Xenopus tropicalis: one gene and its partners. The protein of the gene in region 3 interacts with the protein of the main gene of each other region in a pairwise test. Links are inferred from orthologs where the notes say so. Each region holds a gene or a part of one and is shown on either strand. Other genes may lie near its edges.

Evidence for each region.
Region 1: the proteins of clns1a (region 3) and snrpg interact in binary tests that used the Homo sapiens proteins (3 or more experiments, as listed by UniProt). The two-hybrid records come from large-scale screens. The link is inferred for Xenopus tropicalis from reciprocal best matches to the Homo sapiens genes CLNS1A and SNRPG.
Region 2: the proteins of clns1a (region 3) and lsm3 interact in binary tests that used the Homo sapiens proteins (3 or more experiments, as listed by UniProt). The link is inferred for Xenopus tropicalis from reciprocal best matches to the Homo sapiens genes CLNS1A and LSM3.
Region 4: the proteins of clns1a (region 3) and snrpd2 interact in binary tests that used the Homo sapiens proteins (3 or more experiments, as listed by UniProt). The link is inferred for Xenopus tropicalis from reciprocal best matches to the Homo sapiens genes CLNS1A and SNRPD2.
Region 5: the proteins of clns1a (region 3) and lsm2 interact in binary tests that used the Homo sapiens proteins (3 or more experiments, as listed by UniProt). The link is inferred for Xenopus tropicalis from reciprocal best matches to the Homo sapiens genes CLNS1A and LSM2.

What each region holds. Positions count from the first base shown.
Region 1 is NC_030679.2:122,084,326-122,090,933, reverse strand, and holds snrpg (small nuclear ribonucleoprotein G), read left to right. Parts: upstream 1-2,239; 5' UTR 2,240-2,266; coding exon 2,267-2,298; intron 2,299-2,912; coding exon 2,913-2,935; intron 2,936-3,743; coding exon 3,744-3,868; intron 3,869-5,281; coding exon 5,282-5,332; 3' UTR 5,333-5,459; downstream 5,460-6,608. Other genes in the region: protein FAM136A, read right to left, coding at 1,755-1,841. UniProt on the Homo sapiens protein: Plays a role in pre-mRNA splicing as a core component of the spliceosomal U1, U2, U4 and U5 small nuclear ribonucleoproteins (snRNPs), the building blocks of the spliceosome.
Region 2 is NC_030680.2:132,917,140-132,923,669, reverse strand, and holds the start of lsm3 (U6 snRNA-associated Sm-like protein LSm3), read left to right. Parts: upstream 1-2,510; 5' UTR 2,511-2,523; coding exon 2,524-2,544; intron 2,545-5,510; coding exon 5,511-5,621; intron 5,622-5,709; coding exon 5,710-5,805; intron 5,806-6,530. Other genes in the region: xpc (DNA repair protein complementing XP-C cells), read right to left, coding at 1-37, 1,051-1,192, 1,744-1,828. UniProt on the Homo sapiens protein: Plays a role in pre-mRNA splicing as component of the U4/U6-U5 tri-snRNP complex that is involved in spliceosome assembly, and as component of the precatalytic spliceosome (spliceosome B complex).
Region 3 is NC_030678.2:168,850,829-168,856,800, forward strand, and holds part of clns1a (methylosome subunit pICln), read right to left. Parts: intron 2,639-5,972; coding exon 2,502-2,638; coding exon of another isoform or gene 2,496-2,501; intron 1-2,495. UniProt on the Homo sapiens protein: Involved in both the assembly of spliceosomal snRNPs and the methylation of Sm proteins.
Region 4 is NC_030684.2:70,385,040-70,391,538, forward strand, and holds the start of snrpd2 (small nuclear ribonucleoprotein Sm D2), read right to left. Parts: upstream 3,969-6,499; 5' UTR 3,898-3,968; coding exon 3,896-3,897; intron 923-3,895; coding exon 743-922; intron 1-742. UniProt on the Homo sapiens protein: Plays a role in pre-mRNA splicing as a core component of the spliceosomal U1, U2, U4 and U5 small nuclear ribonucleoproteins (snRNPs), the building blocks of the spliceosome.
Region 5 is NC_030684.2:75,101,446-75,107,868, forward strand, and holds lsm2 (U6 snRNA-associated Sm-like protein LSm2), read right to left. Parts: upstream 4,450-6,423; 5' UTR 4,312-4,449; coding exon 4,309-4,311; intron 3,845-4,308; coding exon 3,777-3,844; intron 3,294-3,776; coding exon 3,263-3,293; intron 2,379-3,262; coding exon 2,319-2,378; intron 2,202-2,318; coding exon 2,076-2,201; 3' UTR 1,743-2,075; downstream 1-1,742. UniProt on the Homo sapiens protein: Plays a role in pre-mRNA splicing as component of the U4/U6-U5 tri-snRNP complex that is involved in spliceosome assembly, and as component of the precatalytic spliceosome (spliceosome B complex).

The DNA of each region.
Region 1 (6,608 bases), on a different chromosome or scaffold from region 3:
TATATCTTAGTTGGGATCAAATACAAGGTACTGTTTTATTATTACAGAGTAAAAGGAAATCATTTTTAAAAATGTGAATTATTTGATTAAAATTGAGTCTGTGGGAGATGGGCTTTCCGTAATTTGGAACTTTCTGGATAATGGGTTTCCGGATAAGGGGTCCCATACCAGTATGACAAAATCACTGTCCCACAACACAAGCTGGATAGCACTGGTTTAAGCAATTTATTTGTGTATGTCCTGACATTTTATTTGCCATGTACTATTGCCACATTCACATTCTGTGCTCCAAAGGTTGATCAAATTGTCAACAATTATAAACATCCTGCAAGTCACCTGATCACCTGAAGTGGATAAAACATCCCAAGCCAGCTAGAGGCCATTCATGAACTATGAATAAATAAAATATGATCCCCTGAACCAGCTACAGACCCTGCATCTGCAACAGTGTCCCAGAGAAGAAGGCTGGGGGTCCTGTCTCATAGGAACAAACTTTCTGCATGCAGATTATTTTCCCATTGGCTTTGGTTATGGTTATGGGGGGCATTAACACAGTCGTGTGACACAGATATAAATTGCAAACCCCTATGAAAACACCAACATCCCAGACCCAAGGTAATACTGATGAGCTACTGTTTTATACTTGGGGGTCTCTATTTTGGATGCATATAGAAACACACTTTTGGTTTTTGTGATGGTTATTCTCGTAGTGTATATATATATATATCCAACAGATCATATTAAGTGGCCTATTAAACAATTTCAACATTAAAATATATGTATATAGGGATGCACCAAATTCACTATTTTCAGATTTGGCCGAACCCTGGATCCTTTGTTAAAGATTTGACCGAATTCCAAACCAAATTTGTACATACAAATTAAGGCAAGTAAGGGTTAAAGAGAACCCCACGCAGAGTGTGACAAAAAGACAGGTGTTTTTAAAAATTCGGATTTGGTTCGGCCAGGACCTTGGATTAGACTTAATCCTGCACCGAATCCCGGATTCAGTGCATGCCCTTGGTGTGTTTGTGTGCTACAATAGCAGGAGGCCCTTAATATATAAAATGGCAATTTTCTATGTAGGATTACCCAATAGCACGTGCTACTAAAAGAAGTATATTTTCATGCAATTTATTTAGAAGATGCAGGGTTTTACATCTGAGCTGTTTATGCAATATATTTTTATAGAGACCTACATTGTCTGGGGTATAGATTTCCTTTGCTAAGAGGCTTGGGCCACACTGTGGCTTTCAAACATAAGTTTTACTCATTTGAACTTTTTGCCCCAGTTTCTTTTTCCCCCAGTTTCTTTTTGCCCCAGTTTCTTTTTCCCCCAGTTTCTTTTTCCCCCAGTTTCTTTTTGCCCCAGTTTCTTTTTGCCCCAGTTTCTTTTTGCCCTACCCATTTCTGATGAAGTTTGCAGCAACAGTACTTGCGGTTTAATGGTAAGGAACAGAAACCTGAACAGAAAGATAAGTCCCTGTGCTAAGCAAATGTAGCAGGAAAACTAGTATGTTATATTAAAGGACAAGTAAAACCTGGTATATAAGGCATCCCACAGCCATTAGTCCTGTACATTAAAAATGACCAATTCCTATTGGACCCCCAGGCATTTGTGCCCCTTCCATTCAAGTGCATGGGAGTGCTACCCCAGGGGGACTTTGAATGGCAGCAGAGTATAATAAAAGAAGTAATGGAAGATGGGCTGTAACGCCCTATGACATAAGACTAATTACACCAGACTATGGTACCTGCATTTTCCTAATGTTGTCCCTTTCCAAGCTCTTCACCATAGTGTCTATCGCATTTTGAAGCCGGTTCTGCTGTTCCTCTGCCATGTCTGACAAGCGTGTGCTCCAAGGGCAACGCACCTCTCTTCCGCCCTTACACATACCCTTCCGGTTACGGCTTGCCCTTACTCTAACTCTACGGCATCTACGTTGTTTTGCGGCAGACATCTAAGCTGACCGACTAGCTTCCATAGCCCCAAGTTTTTGTTAAATTCTTCTATAACCAATCAGGGAAAACGTATATATGTAATCAAATTTGCAATATTTCTTATATACTTTAATATTTGATACACAATGTTATATTTAGCCCAACTAAAGCCGGCTAACGCGTCTCCTTTGTATTCTTTGGTGGTCGTCATAGCGACCGTGGGGGTGGGCGGGGAAGCGCATACACGTAAGACGTGCTTACGTCACATTAAGGCGACTGCGTTACTTGGCGGCAGCGACCGGGGCTTTGTACACGAGGAACGAAAATGAGCAAAGCGCACCCGCCCGAGCTGAAGAAGTAAGGAACGGCCCGGGGGGGGGCAGTGAGGGGCAGAGCGGAGGGGGCAAGTGAGGGGCAGAGCGGAGGGGGCAAGTGAGGGGCAGAGCGGAGGGGGCAAGTGAGGGGCAGAGCGGAGGGGGCAGTGAGGGGCAGAGCGGAGGGCAAGTGAGGGGCAGAGCGGAGGGGCGGCTTAGGCTGTAGCCGGGGAACATACACCCAAACCTGCAGCCTCCATTGCGCTGTTTCATGTTGAATGGCCCGTTTTGGAGCATGGAGGCTGCAACCACATCATTCACACAGAAAGAAATGGGGATCTTTTCGATTCCCACATATCTTCCAATTATATTTTGTGGTCAAACTGATTGATTGCCCATATATTGCAATATACTCCAAGCTGGCCAACTACATCAGTCGCAGTCATAGGATTCATTAAGGATTCTAGTATTTCATAATGTGCACATGGATCTCTGGGAAGAGTGAAGTAGCTCTTATGCCTGATACTAACCCTATAAGGGAACTGCATTGGCTTCTCTTGGGTCCCTAGTCTAGTGATCTGAGCACAGGTGATTAGGTCTTGTTGAGTTATTATTATAATATAATGTATTTAAATGTTGTGTACTTTTTACTTTTAGGTTCATGGACAAGAAACTGTCTTGTAAGTATTGAAAAATTTTCCATCTACTTGTAAAAAGAAAAAAAAATAAAGGAAAACTATACCCCCCAAACAATGTAGGTCTCTATAAAAATGTTTCATAAACAAGCTCATATGTAAAACTAAATTAATCTAAATAAACCATTTTCTTAAAAATATTATTTTTTTAGTAGTATGTGCTATCGGGTGGTACTAAATAGGAAATTGCCATTTTATGAATTAAGGGCCACCCCCTGGGATCATAGGATTCACAGTGCACACAAACAAGCCAAGACACACATACATGTTAGGCCCCATCAGCCAATGAATGGGCAGAGTTCTGCCTTTTGCTCCCACACTACTCCCTGTTACAGTCAGAGCTGCATTATTTCCTGTCAGCTGATCTCTGAGGGAGCACACAGCCCATCACTAAATGGTGGCTCAAGGGAAAGGATGTAAAAGGGCAATATTTACTAATATATATTCCAGTTTGACAATATTCTTTAATAGGCCACTTAACAAAATATAAACTATCTGTTGGTTAAGTATTCGTTCTGGGGGTATAGTTTTCTTTTAAAAAATAAAAATATATATGATGAGGTCTGTGCTCGGACCTTATTCAGGTGCTTGGCCAAATAACAGTGTTATTTAGAATAAGAAGCAGCAGAGAGATGGTGCAATGAAGGATTTATTCAGGATACAGGACTGCTGTTCCTCACTCTATATAAATATATGCAGTTATAAGGGAACTGTACCAGGTGACTCCCCAAACCAGTAAACCACCAAAACCTTGAAGCATCTGATCAAATTTCCTTTCTTTTCTTTCTTTCAGTGAAGTTAAATGGTGGGAGACATGTCCAGGGGATTCTGCGTGGCTTTGATCCCTTCATGAACCTTGTAATAGATGAGTGCACAGAGATATCAGGGGGTGGCCACCAAAACACCATTGGAATGGTGGTAAGTGTTAGACTGAGCTGCAACATATATTGTATGGTCCCTTACTGTGTGTGTAATTTAGGGTGGCCGTTCATGGTCAGATTTTCCAATTTTTAAACTAACATTTGAGGACAACGCAACGCAAAATATAATTTTTTGCCTAATAAAAGAAAACAGAATTCTCAGCTTTGCAATATACATTTATTACAAATTTGTAATGGTTTTTGAGTTATTTGTATATATAATTGCTATTAGAAGCAGTGTTTGTCTGTCCTTTTCTATTCTCTGCCCTGGTGGCTCTGGCATTTGAAACAATGTAACACAAGGCAGCCAACTGACAGACCTGACTTGGGGAAGGAGACTGACTTTTGCAACATTGTTTAAAAAGTAACCACCAGGAGTTCGGCAAATGCTGCTTTCAATAGCAATTACATTTACAAATGGCATTTAATCATACAATGTTATCCACAGAGAAGTAGCACGTTAAAGATGTCGTCATTTTGTTGCCAAAAGGTAAAGTAATATTGTGCATCTACAATGCTATATCAGCTTGTGGCGGAAGCAGTATAAACAGGAAGTGATGTATTTTTCATCAATTTTTATCGATATTGGTATGCTATTTGCTATTACAACAAGTGAACGAATGAGTTCTGCTTGTTTGTAATGTGGCTGGTTGCCTTGGCTTGCTGGTATTGCAGCAAGGTATTCTTTTGCCTGTATTTATATTTACCAACAGCATGCACATGACTTTTCATAGTGTTTATGTGGTTAAAATGTAGGGTTGGCAACAAACATTTGGGTCTTGTCATATGCGTTCGTTGACTTCTGCAGGTACTGCCAATATATGCACAGAAAGCGACTGTTCAACGACAACTTTCACACCAACTCTTATCGTTGCCCAACTGATATTTTTAAGAATGTTGGGCCAATTAGTAAATTCTTACATCTAGAATTGTTTGTACACTACCAGCTATACAGTTTGTCCTGAAATCAGTCGTGAGACTACAAAATCTGAGCATGTATGGCTGCATTTAGTGGAATATGGTCAGATTATTAGCAGCTAATATTGCAAAGTGTATTGGCTTCTGTGAAGTTCAGATTAAATAATGACTAATCGGCTGAGCAGCTTTAGTACTTTAAAGATGGCCAGTTTAAAGAGAGGGATCTAGCCCATGTTTTCTGGGTAGGATGAGTTCATTGTTTTATTATATGCACAGTGCATGGCTACATACATCAGTGCTATGTACCACATGCATTTAAGTTAATTGCCATTAAGCCCAGCATTGTGGGATTTCTGTGTTCACTAGGGATGTACTGAATCCACTATTTTTGGATTCAACCGAACCCTGAATCCTTCATAAAAGACTTATTAGAATTTGTTGCATTTATTAAGGGGTGATATATGTGGTTAACCTTTCTTTTTTTGCTTTACAGGTAATTCGAGGGAACAGCATTATAATGCTGGAAGCTTTGGAGCGAGTTTAGCTTTCATTTATAACAGTTGTTAATATGCCCCTTCCTCCTCCTCCTGGTGCAAATGCCCTTATGTTAAGTGAAGATGCTACATTCCTTCTGTGAATTTGTTTTTTGTATTAAAAGCCTTCAAATAGAAGTTCTACTTTGTGATTTTACTTAAAAGAGCATTATGCACCTCTGCAAGCATTGGTTAGTTTGCCTGCACAATACACAGGGACAAGACACATGTGCCATGAAGACTAAGACATAAATACTTTGGGTTACAATCTACAAGATAATTCTGTAAGGCCAAAAACACAGGTTGTGTGTTGCTCACCAACAGTATTAGAATTATTTGTTGTGAGCATGGGCTATGATGGGTAAACTGCTATATACCATATATATATAAAACCACCAGTGCCAAGCATTAGCTTGTATGGTGTAAATATTACTACTGTTGGTCTATAGGATGAGTCTGGGTTAGTGGATGTTAGCAGAATGTTATCTGTCTGGAACATTTTTGGAGGAAGCATCAATTTTATGATTTGGACTAGTGAGAGCAAACACTAAAGGTGGCCATACACATTAAGGTTTTTTTTCTCCCTAACAACCAATTTCATTGCGATCTGACAATCCGTCAAATTATCATAAGGTTAGTGGGCACCAAACGTTCGCACATCTAGCTATTTTTCATCTGACATCTGTCAAGTTTTAAAATTGTAGTTGTTACCAATGAAATGTGCCCATTCTCCAGTTTTTTGCAGGACCAAAGCAGGTAGTTTTCCTAGCTTCAGCTAGACGATATCACTTGAAATGGTCAAATCGTACTTTTAAGCCATCGTTTCAGGATAAGCTTGATCCTACGATAACTAAAAGATCTTTTAAAAATCTTAATGTGTATGGCCTGCTTAATGCTGCAGTGTACAATGACATTTTTGACAGGTCTGTTCTTCCTAATTTGTGTGCAGTTCTTCTGCACAATCATGGGGACATGATTCAAATACTTCCACCTAAGCAAACCAATTCTGCACAGAGCTCACAGTGTTTGAATGGCCTGCACTGAGCTCTGCCATCTACCTATCAATATCTGTTGGGTGAACTGTAATGCTAGCTGTGAGCCAGGCCTAATCTGTAATTCTCTTGTCTTTATAGAAACCAGTACCTATACCATCTAGTGGGAAGCCTTCTTTAATTGTAGAAGCTATAAAACAACAGTTTAGCAAAGGGAGGACCAACTTCATATATTACACTTGGGTTTGAGAATAAGATATAGGATAGGCTTATACCTAGATACTTTTGGTAATCC
Region 2 (6,530 bases), on a different chromosome or scaffold from region 3:
TTTAACAGGCGTCTTGATCTTCAAATTTGGTGGATCTCTGTAGATTGCACAGCAAGAATTAAAAAGACTAAAACTCAAGAATGAGGCCATGAATGATAATCTAAATGTTTTTTATATAAAACCTTAGCCACATTTGGCAGAAAATTGACTTAGCAAGCAGACAAAAGTCTTGTCGCTAGTCTGACTCAGGAAATGACTTTTGTGAGCAGACGGAAGTCTTGCGATGAACTGACACAAGAATTGCTAGATGACTCCTTTCTTCTCACTAAAGTGGATTTTTTGCCAGCTGATTGGCAGAACTGAACAGCAGGCAGGGACACTGTTGTTTTAAATTCATTATATGAGAAGAGTAAAAACTACCACTATCTTGAAAACTAGACAAAAATAATTATGTAAATGGAAAAAATGATGAGTAATTTTATATTTATTTGTATTAAGTGCTTACATTTGACTTAAGCACATATACTACTGAAATCAGTACAGATCTGAGCATAAATAACATTGCATAAGAAATTTCTTAATTAAAGTGGGTTAGTAAATCTGAACTATAGACTAATAAACTACAGATATGAGCATGTGGGCTTATTTATACATGCATGTAAAAGCTCCAGCTACCTTGTTGTGCGCTGCGCTAAGACCACTTAAGGTGGCCATACACATAGCAATTTTGATCTTTCGATCGTTCCCACCCTCCAGTAACGTTCAGGGCTGAGTCGTCAGATATGGAGGTAGAAACAATAGAAATTCTACCTCCTTCTGCCGATTCAGCCCTGAACGTAGATTTTGCTCGGGGTGCCATATCAAAACCTTTTAACCTGGCCGATCGACTAGTCGACCGATATCCACAGCTTTTTGCAATATCAGTTGCCTCGTCAAGCCCCATACACGCACAGAGAATCGTATGAGGTTTTGTACAACATCATTGGTGTGTGTATGGCCGGCTTTATCCATATTGGCCATATTGACACAAGAATAAGCAAACATGGAGCAGACTTAGTGCATCTCTCCTGCATTGTTGTAAAACCAATCAACTCAACCAAGATGACTCACTGTGTTTGTTTTCCAACTGTTTTCCCATCATTTACAGTCGGTCTCTTGGCTACACAACTTTGCTTCGTCAGACTGTCACCGCAGGAATCTTTACTCTTCTTAACTGGGGGTCTCTTCTCTTCATAGAATTTATCTTCGTCATCTACATGGTTAAAACAAGATGCCCCTTTATTAAATAGGAAGGATGAAGAGCTAAGTGCAAACGACCTGTAATGTTCCACCAGAGCCCAAAGCATTGGTAGTTAATCATTTAGCACAGAAATAAAAGCCCATGCACAATTCAAGGGCTAACTCTGCCTATCTTTTAATATTGTCCAGATGGCATAATACTAACACAATCTGCAACTGGTCTTTATTTTTTATTTCATCTGGTCTCTGAATTATGTTGTCAAGGTTTGTATTTAATTTATCTGGTTTCTAGGGGTTACCTTAGCAATCATAGAAGAATCTTAAAACCAGTATAGTGAATAGTACAGGGCTGATGCCCATAGGGTTCAATCTGCACTCACTACAGTATTATTCCCAGCCTATTTAGAAACTCTGCACAGTGTCCCCATACAGTACCTATAAGAATTAAGTCTATTTAAGTCTGTGAATTAAGTCTGTGTTTAGATTTCATTTTACGTGTTACTGTATATCATTCACAAGATGAATGAAAATCTCTATAGACATGCAGACCCCATAGAAACTCACCACCATGCAGGGAGTCTATTGCCGGGCGGTTTCTCTGCTTGTTCCCCGCTACCGCAGCACCCTCAGACCCCCTCCGCTTTGCCATCTCCCCACAATTCTACCTCACATGTCCCCTCTGGTTGTATAACCCACACAACAGGAAACAATCTGTCTCAGACAATAACATTAACGCGTCACTTCCGGAACATACACATGTGCACCCCGCTGCCAGGCCTCCGCCACTTACTGCCCATACTCTCACATTATTGGCTGAGCTTCACATTCCGGCCTCCGACACTTACTGCCCATACTCTCACATTATTGGCTGAGCTTCACATTCCGGCCTCCGTCACTTACTGCCCATACTCTTACGCTATTGGCCGAGCTTCACATCCAGGCCTCCGCCTCTTACTGCCCATACTCTCACACTATTGGCTGAGCTACACATTCCGGCCTCCGTCACTTACTGCCCATACTCTCACGCTATTGGCCAAGCGTCACATCCAGGCCTCCGCCACTTACTGCCCATACTCTTACGCTATTGGCCGAGCTTCACATCCAGGCCTCCGCCTCTTACTGCCCATACTCTCACACTATTGGCTGAGCTACACATTCCGGCCTCCGTCACTTACTGCCCATACTCTCACGCTATTGGCCAAGCGTCACATCCAGGCCTCCGCCACTTACTGCCCATACTCTCACGCTATTGGCCGAGCTTCACATTCTTCCTGTGGCACATAAATATCGCGATAGGAGAATTGTCAGGGTTCTCGGCTATTTCCTTTGCGCGGGGTTTTGAAGATGGCGGACGACGGAGAGCAGGTAGGGATGTGGGTTTATAAGACTGGAAAACAGGTTCTGTTCGGTTCTCGGCGCAGTGCGGCATAAGGGGTGCTCCTGGCCCGGTCTCGCTTGGGAACGCGTATAGGGTTTTTTTATGTTGCGGGGAATTAAGTGAATGTTTATTCAAACTGGACTGTTTTCTCTTTTATTTCAAAGCCTTTTTTTTTTTTTAATCGTGAAGCACCGGTGGAGTGTGTTTATATTCATAACTAGCGATGTAAATCTGATTAAAAACCCAGTTGTTGTGGTCAGGAGTAAAATGAAATGTATGTTCTGTGTGGCTGATGGCGTCAATATATTCAAACAATAGAAGCACAAGGCTTGTTTTAGTTTCTATACCTCAGATTTCTGAGTTTATCTCCCAATTGACTCTTGACTCCTGTTTTTTAGGGACACATCCTATAAAATTTAAGAATATACTAGTGAATTATACTCCTAGATATAGGATTGTGCTTAAAAAAAAAAAAAGTTGTTTCGGACTGATTTGAGAATCCCCCCAAACCCCACTAGCCCCGCCCATCTGTTCCACTTCCTGCTGGCTGAATTCTCTGGATGTGCAGGGGAGCCGGGGCACTCTAAGATAGGAACCAATCAGCAGCTAGGCTGACCTGATAGGGAACTGAAGCCTGTCTGTGCTTTTGTGAGTGCAGGGCTGTGATTGGCTCTCCCCCTCCTACTGTTCTTCTAGCAGGGACCGTTAGGACACGCCCACCCCTCATTTGAAACACAGACAGGGACCTGAGAGGATCTATAGGGAGCTCCAATAAAGGGGCCATTGTTACAGATAGGGTTAATGTTTAGCCCAAAATGAAACCAGCACCGGATATTATTCATAATTGCCTACAAAATGAGGGGTTTTCCCATTTATCCAACATGTCTCCTAATTTACTAATGTGTCAATCCATGTTGATTGGAAGAACACAACATACATTTCATCACTGCCAAAGCTCAGCAGTTTGAAAGCTGTATGGAGGTGGTGCATGTTTTTGGGAGCAAACTAAATAACTACTGGCTAGGCAGCTGGTTCACTACCCTATTGGCTGCCCAAGCGGGTCTAAATCTATAACCTAAGTCTGTCATTTTGGCTTTTTATTAAAGACACCACAAGCATTCCTTAAATCTAAAGTTCAAACAAGACAAAAAATGAAAACTGTAAGGTTTTAATAGCTCAGGTTACAAAACAAAAACTGTAGTACCGTGTTAGCCAGTGTCAAAAATAATAATAAAAAAACAACAAGACACAAATACAAGAGTATTGTACTTCACACTAGTGAAACTACACTCTGGGCTTTATTTATAATTAAAATACAAATAGTACAGTTACATTAAAGGTATAGTGCTAAGTGTCCTAGACAAGAGGAAGGAGGTCCCTGCCCCACAGACCTTACAATCCCATGCAGGGGAGAAAAGAAATGCTATTTGGTAACTGTAGATCAAATCTGACTGCTCAAAACAATAAAGGTGCCCATACACAAGCAGATTTTGTCATGTGAAACAACCAGTTTTAAGGTGGCCATACATGGGCTGATTCTAGCTGCCGATATCAGTCCCTTAGACCAATTCGGCAGCTTATTGGCCGTGTATGGGCATTAACGACAGGCCTGCCCAACTGACATCGGGCAGATCTCGATCAGGCAGGTTTAAAAATCAGTCTGATCGGGGACTGCATTGGCTCGTTAATGCAGTCCCCAAACAGACAGACGCCTATGGCCGTCGTCCTAATTCGGACATTTGACCCTGGGGCCAAACGACCGAATTAGCCTGATATTGCCCACCCATAGATGGGGATATTGGGAGAAGATCCGCTTGCTTGGTGACTTCGCAAAGCGAGTGGATCTTAGCGTGTAAGGCCACCTTTACAGTGAACCAATAAAATTTGCTTTATTATTAACTTATTGTTACATTCAGGGGGAAACGATTGTAAAATATACGATCATTTCAACTGCATTGTCCCAACATTTGATCAGATGGGCTTGACCGTTTTTGTCATTAAATCAGTCAGTGGATGAGAGGAACAGATCACAATCATTAGATTAACATTCCCTGCACAAGTCTTTATTTTGATGGGCTAGGTTAAGTGCAAAAGTAAACAATGGAACAGACGGGCATTGGCTAATATATGTTCTTGGAGCCAGCACAACAAAGATATGACAAGTCTTCTCATATATTGACAAATGATCAAGCAAGCTTGAGTTTAGTTGCCTGAGGACCTGCTGCCCTTCACACTTCCCCCCCCCCCCCCCCCCAAAGGTCCTGTGGATGCTGAGTTACTAAACTCATGCAAATACTCTGTACCCCTGCAAGCACTGACACTTGATTGTGTGGCTTAAAAGACTGCTATTGCTAAATATTTGCAACTTATTCACTGGAATATAGAATCAGAAGTGCCATTACTCGTTTAAAGGAAATGTAAACCTTCGAAAGACATGGGGGGGAAAAAAGTCAACTGCAAAAGTGCTCTGAATAGAGTGCTGGGCAGTTTTGAGACTGTTTTCTTGGGTTTACATTTCCTTGAAAGTACTTTTTATAATATCATAATTATAAGGAGGCTAATATATCACGGCACCATCTGCAAAAGAAAGGGGACCAGAATTTGTGGTAAAAGCAGATGATTATTACTTTGCAGCTAAGGGGTTAAACAATATACAGGCAACTCTTATGTATCCAGCAAAAACAGTTTTAAGATAGAGGCAGAAACACAGGACTAGGTTTAAACTGAAAACTATAAATTGAATCATACTAAAAAGAAACTACCGCTCAAACACACAGAATAACTTATTAAGCAGACATGTGGCCCAGTGTTATAGGATCCAAAAATTGTAACTGTCTCAGGGACTGTTAATGTGACACTGTTGTGTTGAATAAACTTGCATGTTTGAGCAAAACTGGTCATGGTGCTGAGTATTGTATTACATCTCTGTTTCCTCCCCTCTCCATCGATCTAGCAACAAACCACAAATACAGTGGAAGAGCCTCTGGATCTGATCAGACTTAGCCTAGATGAACGGATCTACGTTAAGATGAGGAATGACCGAGAGCTGCGTGGACGTTTACACGTGAGTGTTTAGTATAGGTGATTTGTTTTGTGCGGATCATATTTGAAGCGTAAGGAAAACCTGTTTCCTTGTTTGCTCTTTTATACAGGCATATGATCAGCATTTGAACATGATCCTGGGAGATGTGGAAGAGACCGTGACAACCATAGAGATTGATGAGGAGACATATGAGGAGATTTACAAAGTAAATATTATTTTAATTGCATTCCTTTTATTGCATTTACACACGGATTTATTACCTATATATATCTCAGTTACTGGTTGCTTAAGAAATTAAATGAATCTATATTCCGATAAGGTATACCTTTTTAAAAAGGCTTTGTGGCTTAGCCTGCTGAGCAACAAGCACAATAAATATTTGTATTAAAAGGGGCAAATAATGCCATAAAGTGAAAATTCATATAAGATGTGAAAAATTGTAACCCTTAGCAGGGCCGAAACTAGGGGTAGGCAGAAGAGGCCCGTGTCTGGCCGCAATGGTCGATGGGTGCCAAGCAGGTACCTCTACTGCCTAATTACCCTGAGTTCCATCCATTCTGCTCTGAGCCTCGCTTAACACTGCTCTGTCTTGCTCCTCCCTCAACCCATCTGTCACTGTAGCGCTGGTAGCAGGGGCGAATGGGGGAACCAGGGAGGGGTGACGCGTTGACTGCCATGGGCTCAAGCGGCTGTCCCTTGGGGTGCAATTTACTTATCACTCGTCTCTATAGTTGCCATATGTACCACAAGATAGCAGCTCCCTGACACCTTAAAATTGCTGATATCAGAATAGCACTCAATAGTAAGAAAGCCAGTCCAGCTTGGGACTCCTCCAGTTACATGGGAGTAGGAGAAACAATAGGTTGCCTGAAAGCAGTTCTAATGTGTAGCGCTGGCTCCTTCTGAAAGCTCAGACTTGGGCACAATGCA
Region 3 (5,972 bases):
AAGAAAAGGTCTATCAATACAATACTAAACATTAATTTAAAAATGAACTTCCCCTTTAAAAGAGAAAAACCCAGGCACAGCTAAAATCATCCCCCGCATTCCAAATGATACACACAAAGATGCAGCCTGACCTATTTAAGCCATTATGTAGCAAAAGAAAGAAACCATTTTGACTGCTCCATTTCGTGGGACTGTCAGGTTGTGAGTCAGAGCCTCTCTCCCCCAATCTGCAGTCACAATGATGATTTAACCCTTTAAGTGCCAGCAACATTTTACATGTTTCTGGAACATTTTGTTTTTCCTCACTTTAGAGGCATTTCCTTGGGGGGGGGAGCTTTAGTTTCTCTAGGAAAATTAGTTGGGATCAAGTACAGGTACTGTTTTATTATTACAGAGAAAAGGGAATCATTTAACCATTAAATAAACCCAATAGGGCTGTTCTGCCCCAATAAGGGGTAATTATATCTTAGTTGGGATCAAGTACAGGTACTGTTTTATTATTACAGAGAAAAGGGAATCATTTAACCATGAAATAAACCCAATAGGGCTGTTCTGCCCCCAATAAGGGGTAATTATATCTTAGTTGGGATCAAGTACAGGTACTGTTTTATTATTACAGAGAAAAGGGAATCATTTAACCATTAAATAAACCCAATAGGGCTGTTCTGCCCCCAATAAGGGGTAATTATATCTTAGTTGGGATCAAGTACAGGTACTGTTTTATTATTACAGAGAAAAGGGAATCATTTAACCATTAAATAAACCCAATAGGGCTGTTCTGCCCCAATAAGGGGTAATTATATCTTAGTTGGGATCAAGTACAGGTACTGTTTTATTATTACAGAGAAAAGGGAATCATTTAACCATTAAATAAACCCAATAGGGCTGTTCTGCCCCCAATAAGGGGTAATTATATCTTAGTTGGGATCAAGTACAGGTACTGTTTTATTATTACAGAGAAAAGGGAATCATTTAACCATGAAATAAACCCAATAGGGCTGTTCTGCCCCCAATAAGGGGTAATTATATCTTAGTTGGGATCAAGTACAAGTTACTGTTTTATTATTATTATTATTGAGAAAAAGGAAATCACTTTGTTATTTGCCTAAAATAGACTCTATGGGTGATGATCTTACAATAACCTGGAAATTCCTAGATAATGGGCTTCCAGATAAGGGATCTCCCATATATTTTATTTGGTGCCTACAAATGTAAATCCAGTCAGTAGCATCCATGTTAGCCTGATTTCAACAGTAGTTTACAGCCAAAAGCCAAGACCACCAGAAAACGAATTTTAAATTACATTTTAGCACCTTGTTGATCTGTGATTTAAAATGCTATTTCCTCACAACAGTTACCTCTATTTCCCTGATTAGTGGGAGCAGATACTGTACAGGCAGAGGGGACACTCTTAGGGCTTTTTAAGCATATTGTGTAAAAAACAAGAATGTGCCAATGCATTTTACGCTTCTAAATATAGAAGGAATGTGCTAAGAAAAGTGTTTTGGGCTGATTTCATAAAAACATTTCCAAAAACCATGTGTTTCACTTCCTGCTGGCTCCTTTCCCAGGCTGTTCAGGGAAGCTGGCAGCACTTGCACTGTAGCTTAGGAACAATCAGCAACTAGGTGGGTCTGATAGGGAACAGGAGCTCCCTATCCTGGATTTTGTTAGGAGTGTCAGTGACACTACACATGCTCAGTGTGCTCTGGGCATATTGAGCTCTGATGCTAACTGCATTGGTTTTAGAGCTGCCATGTAATCTGTATTATTTACTACACTATCTCACTTATATTGTAAAATGTATATTCTATATATACAGTCTATTGTGAGTGGTTCCCTAAGATCAGTTACTGACGGCAGCCCAGGGCATGTGCTGGGAATAAGTGTGAAAGAAGATGGGGGGCAACTGGGGCATCTTCAGATCTTCACTGCTATAGGGCTGTGGTTGCCCTGGGCTTATACAGAAACCCAAAACACAATGTACAACATTTCTGCCCTACGTTTTTAGTTAAGCTTTAGTTCTCCTTTAAGAATGTGCATGGTGCAAGAGCCAGAGTCTATTTATATGTGATGAACTAAAACTCTCAACCTTCTGCAGTCAGTGTAGCGCTGGTGTAATATATATATATATATATATATATATATATATATATATATATATATATATATATATATATATATATATATATATATATATATATATATATATATATATAATGCCGCATATAAGGGTGAAGACACACGGAGCTGCTAGTTGCAGATACTTGTCATGGCTACAGAAACAGACAATATTGATCATTTACTGATAATTGTCTCTACGTGTATTTTAGCAGAGGCAATTCTCAGTATTGTCTATGGCAGGGGATTTTCTGGCGTTTAGTAACCGTGACAAGTAGCTGCTACTAAGTAGCTCTGTGTGTCTTTACCCTAACACTGCTAGCAGAGCCTATCAGCAAAGCTGAACTAAGAGGTCACCAAAGACAAAAACCTGCCCGCACCTCCGAGCTTGGAGTTCACCATGACGTAGAGATGCTCCTCAGGATAGGCGGCCGTGTCCCTGGAGATTGCATGTAGACTGATTGAAGGATATTCTAATGAAAAACCAAGGCCGGAACCATTCAGCCATGATAGGCGACTGAAAGAGAAACAGAAAATCTCACTAAATTTGTTTTTAGGGAACCAGAAAAAATAATGGTTTAAAATTAGGTGTATTATGCTTGCTGCTCCCATCCCTCAGTCTAACAGTTTCCTCTAATAATAATTTTAATGGCTGGTCAGGAATGAGATATTACTACTGGTAGCCTTTCACTAGTGCTAGCTATATATATATATATATATATATATATATATATATATATATATATATATATTATATATATATATATATATATAGCAAGAAAAAAGAGCTGCACTCACCAGGACTTGGCAAAAATATAGTAAGTTTATTTAAGCAAAGAGATCCAACGTTTCGAGCACTAACTGTGCTCTTCCTCAGGGAGAAAGAGCACAGTTAGTGCTCGAAACGTTGGATCTCTTTGCTTAAATAAACTTACTATATTTTTGCCAAGTCCTGGTGAGTGCAGCTCTTTTTTCTTGCTATATATATATATATATATATAATATATATATATATATATATATATATATATATATATATATATATATATATATATATATATATATATATATATATATATATATATATATATATATATATATATATATATATATAAGTGAATGAATGTCGGCACTCACAGGATTCTCACAAGGATGTATCACAGACAATATGGTTGAATGCAACTAGGTGAGGTTTATTGTCCTACGTTTCGGTTCTTTACTGGAACCTTCGTCAGGTTCGAAGGTTCCAGTAAAGAACCGAAACGTAGGACAATAAACCTCACCTAGTTGCATTCAACCATATTGTCTGTGATACATCCTTGTGAGAATCCTGTGAGTGCCGACATTCATTCACTTATCTACATTTTGCGGCTCTGGCACCCAGGTATTGTACCTAAAGTTTGGTGTGCTCCCCACTCTGCAATCTGTGTATATATATATATATATATATATATATATATATATATATATATATATATATGGGATGCACCAAAACCAGGATTTGACCTTTTTCAGCAGGATTTGGATACGGCCGAACCAAATTCGAATCCTCTTTAAACCTTTCTTATCTTAATTTGTATAATAATAATTTGTATAATTACTACATTATCCTAATTTTAACATTTCCTTATCCTAATTTGCAAAATAGTGTATTTGGTGAATCCCTAATTATATATAAAAAAATGAGCCCCTGCACTGACTGACAATCAGAGACTAAAGTAACTGGCAATGTAGGGGGTGATCCTGTTAACTCTATCTGTGCCATATAATAAGGGTCACAGTGGTCTTGACCAATCCGGCAGCTTATCTGCCCATGTATGTGGCCCCCCACCCACCCCACCAATCCAATAAAGGACTGTGTTCATCTCATTGATGTGGTCCTCACTCCAACGGCTCTTATCCCTGTCATTGTAACCAAATGATCCAATTAGCCCAATATTGCCCACTGTAGGTTACCATATCAGGAGAAAAATTCTCTTATTTAAAACCTCACCAAACGAGCCAATCTTATAGAGCCGCCTTTAGGGCTCTGGCACACGGGGAGACTAATCTCCCCGAGTTGCCATCCCACCGGCGAAAATGTAAGTCGCCGGTGGGATGGCACACGCTGCGCAGGCGATTTCGCCAAATCGGCGAAGTTGCCTCACAAAGGCATTTTCGGCGATTTGGCGAAATCGCGCCGCCGCATGTGCCATCCCACCGGCGACTTACATTTTCGCCGGTGGGATGGCAACTCGGGGAGATTAGTCTCCCCGTGTGCCAGAGCCCTAAAGGCAGCTCTATAAGACTGGCTCGTTTGGTGAGGTTTTAAACAAGAGAATTTGTCGCGGGCGACTAATCTCCCTGTGTGCCAGAGCCCTTAAGGTGAAGACACACAGAGCTACTTAGTAGCAGCTACTTTTTCAAGGCTACTAAACTCCAAAAAATCCCCTGCCATAGACAATAGTGAGAATTGCCTCTGATAAAACACATGTAAAGACAATTATCAGTAAATGATCAGCATTGTCTGTTTTAGTAGCCATGACAAGTAGCTGCTACTAGTAGCTTCATGTGTCTTCACCCTTAGGGTGAAGACACACAGAGCTACTAGTAGCAGCTACTTGTTGTGGCTACAGAAATAGACAATGCTGATCATTTACTGATAATTGTCTCTATATGTGTTTTAGCTGAGGCAATTCTCAGTATTGTCTATGGCAGGGGATTTTCTGGCATTTAGTAGCCACGACAAGTAGCTGCTACTAGCAGCTCCATGTGTCTTCACCCTTAGGTTTGCTTCCAGCAAGGGAACCATCTACAAAGAATATATATGTCCTGTACATGTCTGTGTGGGTTACCCCCCAAGTGCTACGGTTCACCCCCCAACATAAAGGCAGAATAACTGGTTCCTGCTAAAACTGGACCTAGTGTATGTTACAGAGACTATAGACTACAAACTCCCCTGGTGCAGGAATGATGTATAATCTCCATTCAGCGCTGCAAAATATGCCAGCCCAACATATAGGGTAACACTGTACTGACTATACCATACGCTGGTTACTGTGCATATATATATATATATATATATATATATATATATATATATATATATATATATATATATAATACAGTCAGTACTATACACAATATGTGTAGGAATGTGTGTTAAGGTGCCCATACACGTTAAGATCCGCTCGCTTGGCGAGGTCACCAAACAAGCGGATCTTCTCCTTCACCTACGGGTGGGGGATATCGGGGGAATTCAAGCTAATTCGATCGAGTTAGAACGCCGGTAATAGGTGCAGTCGGTTCGGGGACCCTACACTACCGATAAGCTGCCGAATAGGTCTAAGGGACCAACCTCGGCAGCTACAATCGGCCCGTGTATAGCCAGCTTTAGCCTATGGCCAGCAGGTTATACAGGTAACAAATACGCTACACAATCACTCAATATATAGTGAATAAAGCAGCCCCTATTGTAACATATAGGGATATTTTAAGTCCCCGAGGAGTTCCTTATAATATATAGTGAATAAAGTGCCCCCTATTGTAACATATAGGGATATTATAAGTCACAGAGGAGTTCCTTATAATATATAGTGAATAAAGTGCCCCCTATTGTAACATATAGGGATATTATACGCCCCCGAGGAGTTCCTTATAATATATAGTGAATAAAGTGCCCCCTATTGTAACATATAGGGATATTATAAGTCCCCGAGGAGTTCCTTATAATATATAGTGAATAAAGTGCCCCCTATTGTAACATATAGGGATATTATAAGCCCCCGAGGAGTTCCTTATAATATATAGTGAATAAAGTACCCCTATTGTAACATATAGGGATATTATAAGCCCCCAAGGAGTTCCTTATA
Region 4 (6,499 bases), on a different chromosome or scaffold from region 3:
GATGCCTATGGTGGCACTGGACAGGAATACAGCCCTGCATGTTTTGACATGCTCACTTGAAAGAGAACTAAAGCTTGATGAAAGAAGTAGGGCAGAAATGTTATACATTATGTTCTGAACTTCTGTACCAGCCCAAGGCAACCACACCCTTTAGCAGGGAAGATCTGTGCCTACAAAGTTGCCCCCAGTAAGCTTAGCTTCTCAACAACTGCCCAGAGCACACAAAGCATGTGAGTGTCACGGAACACACGGACACTTCTAGCAGAAACCAAGATACGGAACTAGTCTGACAACTTTAAAGACCTGGATCATTACTACTAAAGAGATGCTAAACCTTGTAGCCATATTCATTTTTAGGCTTTAGTTGTCCTTTTATCTCCTCCAGCACAGGTGGCATTACATGAAAAAATAAAATTGGATTGTAGTAAATCTGAATGGTCAGTGGTAAAACACTTTACTTGCGTAGGTGCAAGATTAAAATGGAGGTGACCTAACCTCAGGAATTAAGTCTGTGATCTAAAAAAAGATGTCCTGAGTCTTCTTACAAGCCCATTAATCTGGCTTGCTGAGCTAGGAAACATTAGAGGGGGGAGATAATACTAATTCATCAATAAATGCATTTTATTTTGTTGTGGTATTGTAAAAAAAAATGTTTGCACTTGCACATAATGAATTATTAGAGAGGCAGAAAACATGCACCGATTCATTCCCTTTATTTCCCAAGTTTTTATCAACATAGTACCTGTCAAAGGCTTTTACTCTGCCTAGCAACTTTTTGTTATTCCTGCAGTTGATCAGAACTTGTGTGTTGTTCTTCACAGACTGAGTAAGCACAGACAGTGGCCCTGTGTTGAACTCCTCCTCTTCTCGCTTTTGTAGCTCTTCAGGTGTCATCTCACTTTTGGGCTTGTTAAGGAGACTCCTGAAGAGATTTAGAATCAGTGTGAGATGGCATTAAATTATTAAACCTTTTAATTACAAACAATGGTGTCAGTTAACAAAATCACAATATGCGCTGTCCAACTCTTAGTTTTGTGTATAAGTGCAGGGAATTATTTGGCAATATGTTATTAACATGGATCTATAAAGTGTCAACATATTTATTGGCACTGTGCAATAAAAGGGTGTATACATACAGATTATTATAACGCGCTGATACATTCTGCAGCTCTTTAGAGAGATTATAAACCATTCATGTCACTATTAGCCCCACCACAGTTTAGATTTCATTAACATACTGGTCTATGCAAGAATTGGGAATATATACAGTGGTGTGAAAAACTATTTGCCCCCTTCCTGATTTCTTATTCTTTTGCATGTTTGTCACACAAAATGTTTCTGATCATCAAACACATTTAACTATTAGTCAAAGATAACACAAGTAAACACAAAATGCAGTTTTTAAATGAGGGTTTTTATTATTTAGGGAGAAAAAAAATCCAAACCTACATGGCCCTGTGTGAAAAAGTAATTGCCCCCTGAACCTAATAACTGGTTGGGCCACCCTTAGCAGCAATAACTGCAATTGAGCGTTTGCGATAACTTGCAACGAGTCTTTTACAGCGCTCTGGAGGAATTTTGGCCCACTCATCTTTGCAGAATTGTTGTAATTCAGCTTTATTTGAGGGTTTTCTAGCATGAACCGCCTTTTTAAGGTCATGCCACAACATCTCAATAGGATTCAGGTCAGGACTTTGACTAGGCCACTCCAAAGTCTTCATTTTGTTTTTCTTCAGCCATTCAGAGGTGGATTTGCTGGTGTGTTTTGGGTCATTGTCCTGCTGCAGCACCCAAGATCGCTTCAGTTTGAGTTGACGAACAGATGACCGGACATTCTCCTTCAGGATTTTTTGGTAGACAGTAGAATTCATGGTTCCATCTATCACAGCAAGCCTTCCAGGTCCTGAAGCAGCAAAACAACCCCAGACCATCACACTACCACCACCATATTTTACGGTTGGTATGATGTTCTTTTTCTGAAATGCTGTGTTACTTTTACGCCAGATGTAACGGGACATGCACCTTCCAAAAAGTTCAACTTTTGTCTCGTCGGTCCACAAGGTATTTTCCCAAAAGTCTTGGCAATCATTGAGATGTTTTTTAGCAAAATTGAGACGAGCTTTAATGTTCTTTTTGCTTAAAAGTGGTTTGCGCCTTGGAAATCTGCCTGCAGGCCGTTTTTGCCCAGTGTCTTTCTTATGGTGGAGTCGTGAACACTGACCTTAATTGAGGCAAGTGAGGCCTGCAGTTCTTTAGATGTTGTCCTGGAGTCTTTTGTGGCCTCTCGGATGAGTTGTCTCTGCGCTCTTGGGGTAATTTTGGTCGGCCGGCCACTCCTGGGAAGGTTCACCACTGTTCCATGTTTTTGCCATTTGTGGTTCGCTGGAGTCCCAAAGCTTTAGAAATGGCTTTATAACCTTTACCAGACTGATAGATCTCAATTACTTTTGTTCTCATTTGTTCCTGAATTTCTTTGGATCTTGGCACGATGTCTAGCTTTTGAGGTGCTTTTGGTCTACTTCTCTGTGTCAGGTAGCTCCTATTTAAGTGATTTCTTGATTGAAACAGGTGTGGCAGTAATCAGGCCTGGGGGTGACTACAGAAATTGAACTCAGGTGTGATAAACCATAGTTAAGTTATTTTTTAACAAGGGGGGCAATCACTTTTTCACACAGGGCCATGTAGATTTGGAGTTTTTTTTTCTCCCTTAATAACGTAAACCTTCATTTAAAAACTGCATTTTGTGTTCAATTATGTTATCTTTGACTAATAGTTAACGGTTTTGATGAGCAGAAACATTTAAGTGTGACAAACATGCAAAAGAATAAGAAATCAGGAAGGGGGCAAATAGTTTTTCACACCACTGTACTAAATCAGATATAACACTATTTTTCTGACAACAAAACGTCTACTGGTGATTTTTTGTTTAATGGAGAATACAATTTTATTAAAAATGGGTTACCCTATTAACTGTCCATTTTGGTACGATTTTAATTACTAGGTTTAATTTTCCCCAAATAATCATGTTTAAAGCTGTTTTTACCCATCGCTATCTACTTGCTGCCTCCATGTTTTTAAAGGAGTGCCCCATAGTCAAAAACATTACTGAGCATGTGTGAAGTCCCACCCCTTATTGCTAGAGCAATTAAGCCTTAATAAACTAACAAAAAAGTCTGGGCTGAATGTGTTAAAAGGCATATTTTTCAGTCATATGCATTTTTTAAACACAAATTAGTGTTTAAGTTGACCACACAGATCTCTATAATCGTGCAAGCACATAAAGCTGCAGAATATTTCCTTTGTAGAAACTTGTCATGTGGGTCCAACCAGGAAAGATATGGAATTGATTAGAAATTGATTGAAAACATTTAGAACCATTGAAAATGTTTAAATCGTGTATACTGAATAGTTGCTTAGTATTAAAAGACACATATCGGATTTGAATTGGGCTAATAGAACCCGCACTTAGGTTGGGGGAAACAGTACCATTTTGTCCAAAAAAATGCTCATAGCGATGTGCCACCCACACCCGGATGATGGAGAACTTGCTGCAGGTAGCCATGTTATTAACATGCCTGTATATAGTGAGCAAGTGTCACATGCAATTGCATAATGAGAAAACCCGGGGAGCTGTTTATACACACGACCTGGTGCTGGTAGCCTGCAAGGGAAGCTTTTTGGCACTGCCATCTCTGCCACAGTAATTAAATCACAGAACTACACAGCATTTTCTAAGTGCAGGCAAGTTCCGGCTAGTACAATCGCATGCTCTGCTACATAGAGGCATTCGTTCTAAGCGTCAATCAGCTAAACTTAAGTAGATACAAAAGGCTAGTTTTTTTCCTTATTTTTAAGTATTTAAAGCTGGGCTGAAGATATTCCACCAGTTACTCACATCTTTCTTTTTGTCTTTCCTTTCCCTTCTCACGTTTTCCCGGCGTGTAGAACGCTTCCTTTGAAGGGCCACTTCCGCTTCCGGGCCACTTTAGCGGCTAGTTCCTGCTTGATTTGGTTAAGCCTGTAGAAACGTGCCCACGTGATCGACACGAAACAAGTTCCCTCCAGTTTGCTACGCAGAGGGGCAGCGGCGTAATCTGACAGAGAAAAGGCGGGGTGGATTAGTTAACAAAGAGGGCGCATCTAGTTCCTAGAGTGGTTATAGGACAAGGCAAATCTTATTCCAATATTGTTCCAGTATGTAAGGCAACGCTCTGTGCTGGGAATTCAGTCGCTAAAGAGCGCAATAAGAACAGTTCCATGTTTCATTTTGACCATGTTTTCTCAGATTGTGCAATTGGAGGGATATACCAGTAGGTGGCGCAATTGTTACATAATAATTATAATAGACGCTTATAACATGCTTAATAACTTTGAAACTGAAAACAAATCTGAATTGCAAAAGCATTTGGAAGACCGACCAGAAAATGTGTACACTTTTTAGTGTCCTATTGTGTAAAATAACTGAATGGATAGCTTTACTGCGTAGCAGATTTAAAGGTGTTCTTCACCTTTGAATTAACTTTTAGTATGATATAGAGCAGTGTTCCCCAAACAGTAGCTTGCGAGCAACATGTTGCTCTCCAACCCCTTGGATGTTGCTCCCAGTGGCCTCAAACCAGGTGCTCATTTTTGAATTTCTGGTAAAGGAGGCATGTTTTGCAGCCATAAAAAACAAGTATAATGCCAAACAGAACCTTCTGTAGGCTGCCAGTCCACATGGGGGCTATCAAATAGCCAATGATAGCTCTCATTGGCACCTCCAGGAACCTTTTTCATGCTTGTGTTGCTCCCAAACACTTTTTCCACTTGAATGTGGCTCACAGGTATGAAAGGTTGGGGATCCCTGATGTAGAGTGTAATATTCTGAGACAATTTGCAATTGGTCTTAATTTTTTATTTGTAGTATTTTTTTTAGTTCTTTCACTTTTTGTTCATCAGCTATCTTAGAGCTAGAGTCCAGATTACCTTAGCGACCAGGTAGCAATTTGAATGAAAGGGTGGTAAATAAATAGGAGAGGACCTGAATAGAAAAACAAGTTATAAAAAGTAACAATAACAATAAAACTGTATGCTCACCAAGCAATAGTTTTTTGGCTGCTGGGGTCAGTGACCCCTATTTGAAAGCTGGAAAGAGTTAGAAGAAAATAAAAAAATGATTCAAAACTATAAGAAATAATGAATAGGAATAGGCAATTCTATAACACACTAAAAGTTAAAGGAACAGTAACACCAAAAAATGAAAGTGTATAAAAATAATTAATATATTATGTACTATTGCTCTGCACTGGTAAAAGTTGTGTGTTTTCTTCATAAACACTACTACAGTTTATATAAATACCCTGCTGTGTAGCCATGGGGGCAGCCATTTAAATTGAAAAAAGGAGAAAAGGCACAGGTTACTAAGCAGATAACAGATAAGTAGCAGATTCCCATTGTATTCTACACAGTTTATCTGGTATCTTCTTATGTAACCTGTGCCTTTTCTCCTTTTTTCAATTTAAATGGCTGCCCCCATGGCTACACAACAGCTATTTCTATTAACTACAGTAGTCTTTCTGAAGCAAACACACAACTTTTACCAGTGCAGGGCAACAGTACATTATATTTTAATTATTTTAAAACATTTTTATTTTTTAGTGTTACTGTTCCTTTAACTTAAAGGTGAACCACCCCTTAAAGGGTTTGGCAGTGATTTACTACAAAAGTTAACCATTTGGGAGTTTATAGGTTCTCTCTGTTTGCTTGGATTTCTGCCCTATTCTCCAAAACACGCTGACACCTTAATTGGCTTCTGGTTATACTGCCATACTTCTAGCAATAAAACAAATCATTTCTTTATTGGGACATCAGAAAGGAATAGCAATCAGGAAAAGACTATTGCGCTTTTTCTTTTTTAGTCTGTTATTGCATTTTGTTTCAGTAAATCTTTGTAAAGTCTTTATTAACAGTGTGGTTGGAGAGATGGATCCTACATATGCCTGCTCGCTAATTATGGAGCTGTTAACTTAAACTGCTGATTAAAAAGTGTTTTCCTAGATTCTCCCTTTGTAGACACAAATGCAGTTGCAAGGAGCTCAAGCTAATATCTCTAAAATGTTACTGTTTTGTAGTAATCATTAATCTCCAGCCCCAATAAGATACCAGATCTTTTTCTGGTGCAGGTTGGTACATGTAAGTCTTTTAAAAATACATAGTAATGAGACTGGCACAAATAATCTACTATACTACAGGGTATATAAGAAGTATCAGTATTGGCTTTTGTGTGGCACTGGGTGAATAATGCACCTTTTTAGTATACAGTGGCTTGCAAAAGTATTCGGCCCCCTTGAACTTTCCCACATTTTGTCACATTACAGCCACAAACATGAATCAATTTTATTGGAATTCCACGTGAAAGACCAATACAAAGTGGTGTACATGTGAGAAGTGGAACGAAAATCATACATGTTTCCAAACATTTTTTACAAATAAATAACTGCAAAGTGGGGTGTGCGTAATT
Region 5 (6,423 bases), on a different chromosome or scaffold from region 3:
GTGCACTCAAATGGAATGGACAGTCCTTCATGAGATACAACTTTGAGTTATTTTTTTGTTTTTTTGCTCCCTCAGGATTTAAAACTATGCAAGAGCTGCTTCCCTTCACCCTGGGACAGGCTCGAGTCCTCCACTTTCTGTTTTTTAATTCCTGCCAGCATCTCACTCACTGGAAAAAGGGGAAGGTCTCCGTCCAATTTTCTGGACCCTTATAGGGGTAATTTCCCTGACCCTAGAAGCTAGAGCACTTCGGGCACTTTTTTGCATCTAGAGTTTGGCTACATTCTGTACCTAGTGCCAGATTTATATTTTGCTGCTTGGTGCAAAGAAAAGCACAGCACCAGAAGGCACACGGCAGCCCTGTTCTTAGTACATGCCAATGGCAAATGGTAAGAACAGGGCTTCATTGTAGCCTATCCCTGCCAGCCTAATACACCTTCAAATAAAGACCTATGATACATGATCTTTGTCTAGGGACAATTCTTGGTGTTGAATTTGTCCATATCCACTTTGCTAGGCCCATGGGTTTTAAGTATGCTACTTCTCTGCAATCTATTTTTGCACACCAGCTACAAAACTTGATTTATCCCACCATGTTTACCATTGCTATATTCACTTTAAATCCATAATAAACCCCACAGTGATTACCTATATTAAAATGAACTCAGCAGAAGCTCCACTTTTCTGATCTTACATTGACTCATTATTCCACTTTCTTTTCCAGCCTGTCTACTGTAATTTTTATTTTATATCCAACATCCTTTGCATTGCAGCAAAGATCCTTTGGTGTCCTCATCTATCGTAACATTTTCTAGTTCATTTAACAAGACCTCTTGCCTGCAACTTTTTTTGTAAAATTTTATACAATGTCCCATTTAATGGTGTATCCCCAATTTAAACTAAACTGTTAATCATCTTAGCTCACCAGCACTGTATTGCTGAGGGGAGGGAGTGGCACAGGAGGAATCCTCCCTCCTGCCTTATGTGGTGGGATAAGGCTCTGCAGGAGGAGCAGAGCACAGCTTAGCCCACAGCCCAAGTGCTGGATAAGTGACCACTAATCTTGCACTCCATATCAAGCCTTATATGTTCTTCTGAGCAGGGCAACGGTAGCCCATCTGGGTCAGTGATTCAAACATTGTCTGCTGCACTCTAAAACAGAAAGGCTAATAAAAACCATACAAAATAATGTAAAAGTTGCCTAGAATAGGTGTATTTATAACATTCTAAAAAGTGTGCAAGCATTAACTTTCATTTGAAGCAGCGTAGGTGGTTTTTCAGTAAGAACAGTGATGTTGTGATGGCAGATTCTGTTAATGTCTTGGGCTTGGATGCTGCTGAGAAGGGCTTTCCACTAGAAGGTTAAACACTGCACACATTTAGTTATGCTCCCAAACACAGACAAACAGAAAGGTAGATTCTCATTTGGCATTTCAGTTGGGCTTAGGTAAAGATTCTATGTAGGCCAGTAAGGTCTTTGCACTTTAGCAATTCATAAAAACTCTGCTTTATGCATGTGGTATAAGTCATATGACTTTAAAGCTCTGGACAACAGAATGTTATAAATTTCTGTTCTTCAATGTGGAAAATTTCTGATTTTTCAAATTCAGGGTATGGGTTAAATTTACCATACGCATATTAAAAAAAAATTAAACCAGTAAAAATCATATTACGACAAAATTAAGAAAGGCAGATACAAACAGAAGGAACTAGCTTCACTAAAAAAAAAAAAAAACATGAGCTGATGACTTAACACAAAATTTATTTAAGTAAAAAAAAAAAAAAGTTAGGGCAGTCTTTCCCAATTAACTCTGCTTATCTGAGACCACTTCTTTGCAGAGCAAAATGCATTGCTTGGATTCTAAAGTGAACACACAAGTCACTGCACTTAAAAAAGTTTCCAGAACTAGGATGAGAAAAAAAAGTGTGGGTCTCTTACAGAAATGTAATGCAAAACCTGTATAACAGGTAACAAGTTGCTGCTCACTCCTATATTTGGCCTTATAGAAATATAGGCAGTTGACAACACCTAGTGCTGCTTGTGAACCTGCTTCCATCCTTCTAGCTCTTGTACATCACTGCTTTTGCTGTACAGCTTCTTTCCGTGCAGCGTCCTGGAGAAGCTGAGTGTCTACTTCATCAGCAGGGAGCTGTACATAGCGGACCACAGATCCCCGAATGAAACAATTCTTTACAGACAACTAAAAAAAAAATTTTTTAAATAATTACATTAACAAGTGTTTCAAAGCAGGATTAAAAGCTAAGTATCTAGTTTACTGGTGCAGATAAAAAATACAAAGAAAAAAAAAAAAGCTTACCATGTGTGGATATTTTTCTGGGTCTGTTACACTGATATCAGTCAGCTTAATGTTCAAATACTATAAAAAAAAAAAAAAGTGAAATCTTGTTTGAGATAATGAAAAACACAAGTTCCCCCCAAAAGTTCTATTCCAAGACATATTCCTCTATGCAGAATGCAAAAGATGATGTAGCACACTGATCACACATTAAATAAAGTGATTTATTGGCTTAATTAGCAGACATCTACTGGGAACATTTCAGCCAGTCTGAGAGTGACCCAAAACATTGCAAGAGTCGGTGCAACTTAATGCAACCACAATAACGGATCAGTGTGCTACAGCATCTTTGACCCTGGGCAGGTGGGTCTACAGACTGTTTAGCACCAGACACCTGAAAAGGTACTACGATAACAGGTAGAGCAGAGATATTCCTCTATGCAAACAAGCCCTCTAGGGTATAAAAAAAAAAAAATATGAGCAATATTCTCTTTGGAGAATCTTGTAGTAATTATGTTAATAAATATTCCCTGGTTTGACATTATACTCTGCAGGATGCGTACATTTTATTAAAGGCTCTGTCCCTTCAGGGGTTGTTCACCTTTGAATGAACTTTTAGTATGATGTGGACAGTGATAATTGGAGACAATTTGCAACTAGTCTTCATTATCGCAGTCTTTAATTAAATTTAGCTTTTTTTATTGCAGCTCTCCATTTTGGAATTGTAGGCGCTATCTGATTGCTAGGGTTTAATTTAACCTAGCGTTGTGGAAATTTCAGTAATGGTAAAGTCATTTAAAAGAAAATTTTCACTTTTTCATTTTTTTTTTGCCAACCCAACATTTTTCCCTGGCACTGAAAGATTTTATGCCAATTTCAGTTGCAAGGCTTAAGTGACAACATGGCTGAGCTGATAATTATGCTGAGAAAATAAACTACATTTATATATTTGCTCAGTTACTTACCTGATCAACTGAGTGTAGAGTACCACAGATACTGCAAGAGATAAGACCATTTATGTAATAGTGCAACAAAAGGCTAAATGGATGAAAGATGGCTAAATGGTAAAGAAGTGGTTATTTAAGGGTGTGAAGTCTACAGGAGCACAAGAAAATGTTTTTATAAATTCTGTCTACACAATACACTCTGCCCTCTAAAGTTTGACAATGGTCAGGGGGACTCTAAGTGCTGCTGCACCCACCGTGCTTACCTCTTTTGTGTTGGGCACATCACAAGTGCAGAAAGCACAACTGCACACACTGCACTAGGTTTAAGGGCTGTGACACACAGGGAGATTAGTCGACACGCAACAAGAAAGATTTGTTGCGCGGCGACTAATGTCCCCGTGTGTCACATCCCTTAAAGTACAGAAATTAGGTTCTTGAAATGTACCAGTGGCAGCTTTTTGCCTGACTGTATAGCATGTGGGGGGGGGGGGGGGGAAGCAATTCTAGAAAGAACATGGGGCAAAACACTCACCTCAGATCATTCTTCAGCTCTACCACCACATCCTTTCCTACAAGAGACTTGAAGAAGGAGTAGAATAGCTGTACATGATAAAAACAAGTAGTTATAAAAACCAGTTGCCTCTCCTGTAGCTTACCCAAGGCACATCACATAACAAATGTTGCCAAGATCCTTTACAGATCAAGGCAAAGCATGTTCTCTCATAAGACACAAACAATAACAGAGACAGACAAGTTGTTCTGTCCAACTAACATCAGGTTACAAATGATTGAAATGTTGTTGCAAAGCAGGGATGGCCAAATTCGAGCCCTCCCACTGCTATAAGACTACAAATCCCAGAATCCTGGTATAGGCAAAACATGGAACGTCAAAGCAGGGCATGGCCACTCAGAAAGCTGACCTTGCGACTATAGGGGGGGGGGACTGATTGCCAAACAGGTCTGTATACGCTGGTACACCACAAAATACATGGCTATCGACTCCTTAGGTTCTACCCTACAAAACGTGAAACAGTAACGGAACGCTAGTGTTCTTAAGCGGTTACCATTGCTTCTGTTGCAGTCGCACCACCCAAGCTCTATCTGGAAACTGAAGAACAAAACAGACGCCGCTGACAACGACAGATCTACACACCAAATGCCTTCCGCTCATTCACCGCTCTAGCGCCTCTGCATAAATCTCGCGAGAATTTAAAGCAGCAGGAATTTGCGCGCCGGCTTCAGGCACCGGCCGAATGAATGGGTCCCACGGTGATGACGCAATCATGATCTCGCGAGGACAGAAAACATTTTTTTCATGTAACTTTCTTGAGAAGTCCCCTAAACGTATTTTATCCCTGAACAACTAAAATACGTTAAAAAAAATACAGGTTTTATAAACTGGGAGCAGGTACTAAGTGTAACAAAGTATAGATTAGTTTATGAAACAGTAGAATAAAAATGAACTATATTAAGGTTAGGCACTCCACATTAGATCTGTAATGTCCAACCTTAAAATGTTTTTTTATTTTATTGTTTCTTCTGCCAGCAGAATTCTAACCTAGGGCCAAACTAGCGACAGTCAGACAAGAATCAGATTTATCTCTCCTTGTTCTTTGGATCCCTTTTTTGTATTTTTTTAATCCCTAACCTTTGGTTTGTCACTTGCCCACCTCCTGCCCTTTTTGAGCTTCTGCTCAGAGAAAATGTCCCTTGTACCAGTTTATTAAACAACTTTGGATTCCAGGTGTAACTACAGAGGCTGGAACTGCATTCTGACCCACAAACACAAACTATCAGTTCTTGCACAACAAACATCAATTGTAATGTTAAGGACCAATAATTACCAACTCCAGGTACAAGGCATGAGGGTTACGAGATAGCTAAAAGGAGTTACGCTGTCCATACCTGGGCTAGTTACTGTTAAAGGAGACATATCCTATAAAAATTATGAATGTGCCAGTGAATTATACTCCTCTAGATATAGAAGGAATGTGCTTAAAAAAGTTGTATTTCAGACAGATTTATTGAGAAATTCCCCCAAAACCCCACTAGTCCCCCCCATCTGCTCCACTTCCTGCTGGCTGAATTCTCTGGATGAGCTGGGGAGCCAGCGGCCCTCTATACACTGCACTGTAGGATAGGAACCAATCAGCAGCTAGGCTGACCTGATAGGGAACTGAAGCCTGTCTTTGCTTGTGTGAGTGCAGGTCTGTGATTGGCTCTCCCCCTCCTACTGTGCTTCTTGCAGGGACCGTTAGGACACGCCCACTCTTCATTTCAAACATGGTCAGAGAAGAGAGAGGATCTATAGGGAGCTCCAATAAAGGGGCCATTTTTACAAATAGGATTAATGTTTAGCCCAAAGGGAAACCAGCACCGTATATTATTCATAATTGCCTACAAAATTAGGGTTTTCCCCATTTATCAAATATGTCTCCTTTAATTTACCCTTCATATAAGTCGGTTCCATATTGGTCTGTGTAGGGACATTGCAGTTTTCATTTAAAAATGGTAATTATCTCAGGACAAAACAAGACAAGGAGACTGGAGGAACTTGGTGCACCTTAGGACGCCTGTCCAGGTTGTTTTGTAGCTCTACCCCTCCCACCCAAGCCTGCAAGCGCACAGGTCCCACAGCTTGGGCTCAGGAAGGATGGAGAGTGCAATGGAAGTGCAGGTCCTAACTTGGCACCCTCTCTCCCAGGTCATCTGCTATAGCGTTTGACTGAACTGTCCCCAAGACTTGAGGCCAACAAATGTCTGCAGTGGGTTAGAAAATGTCCTAAGGAATGAAACTCATGGGCCTGTTCATGCAGTTCTCTCGCAAGATACCTGCATATGTCCCTCACTCGACATGTTAATTGGCTCTGGGGCTAGACAAACGGTGGACAAACATGGAAAGATTTGTTTGCTTTGCAAAATGACATAATTAGCATCTGTTGTTAAAGCAGACCCACTATAACTAGTGTGATACCATAGCAAGTGCCTGTGGGCGCAACACAACAACGGAAGTGTACAGAGTTCCCTTTCACCTTACCAGAGGAGATGTAACTAGATAATATAGTTATACAGCAACACTAAAGGAATTATTCTACAATTAATGTTAAATAATCCCTCCTATTTCCAAACAAAGCCATACAAGCGCAAGAGGTACGCATATTTGTAGCACACGAATAAAA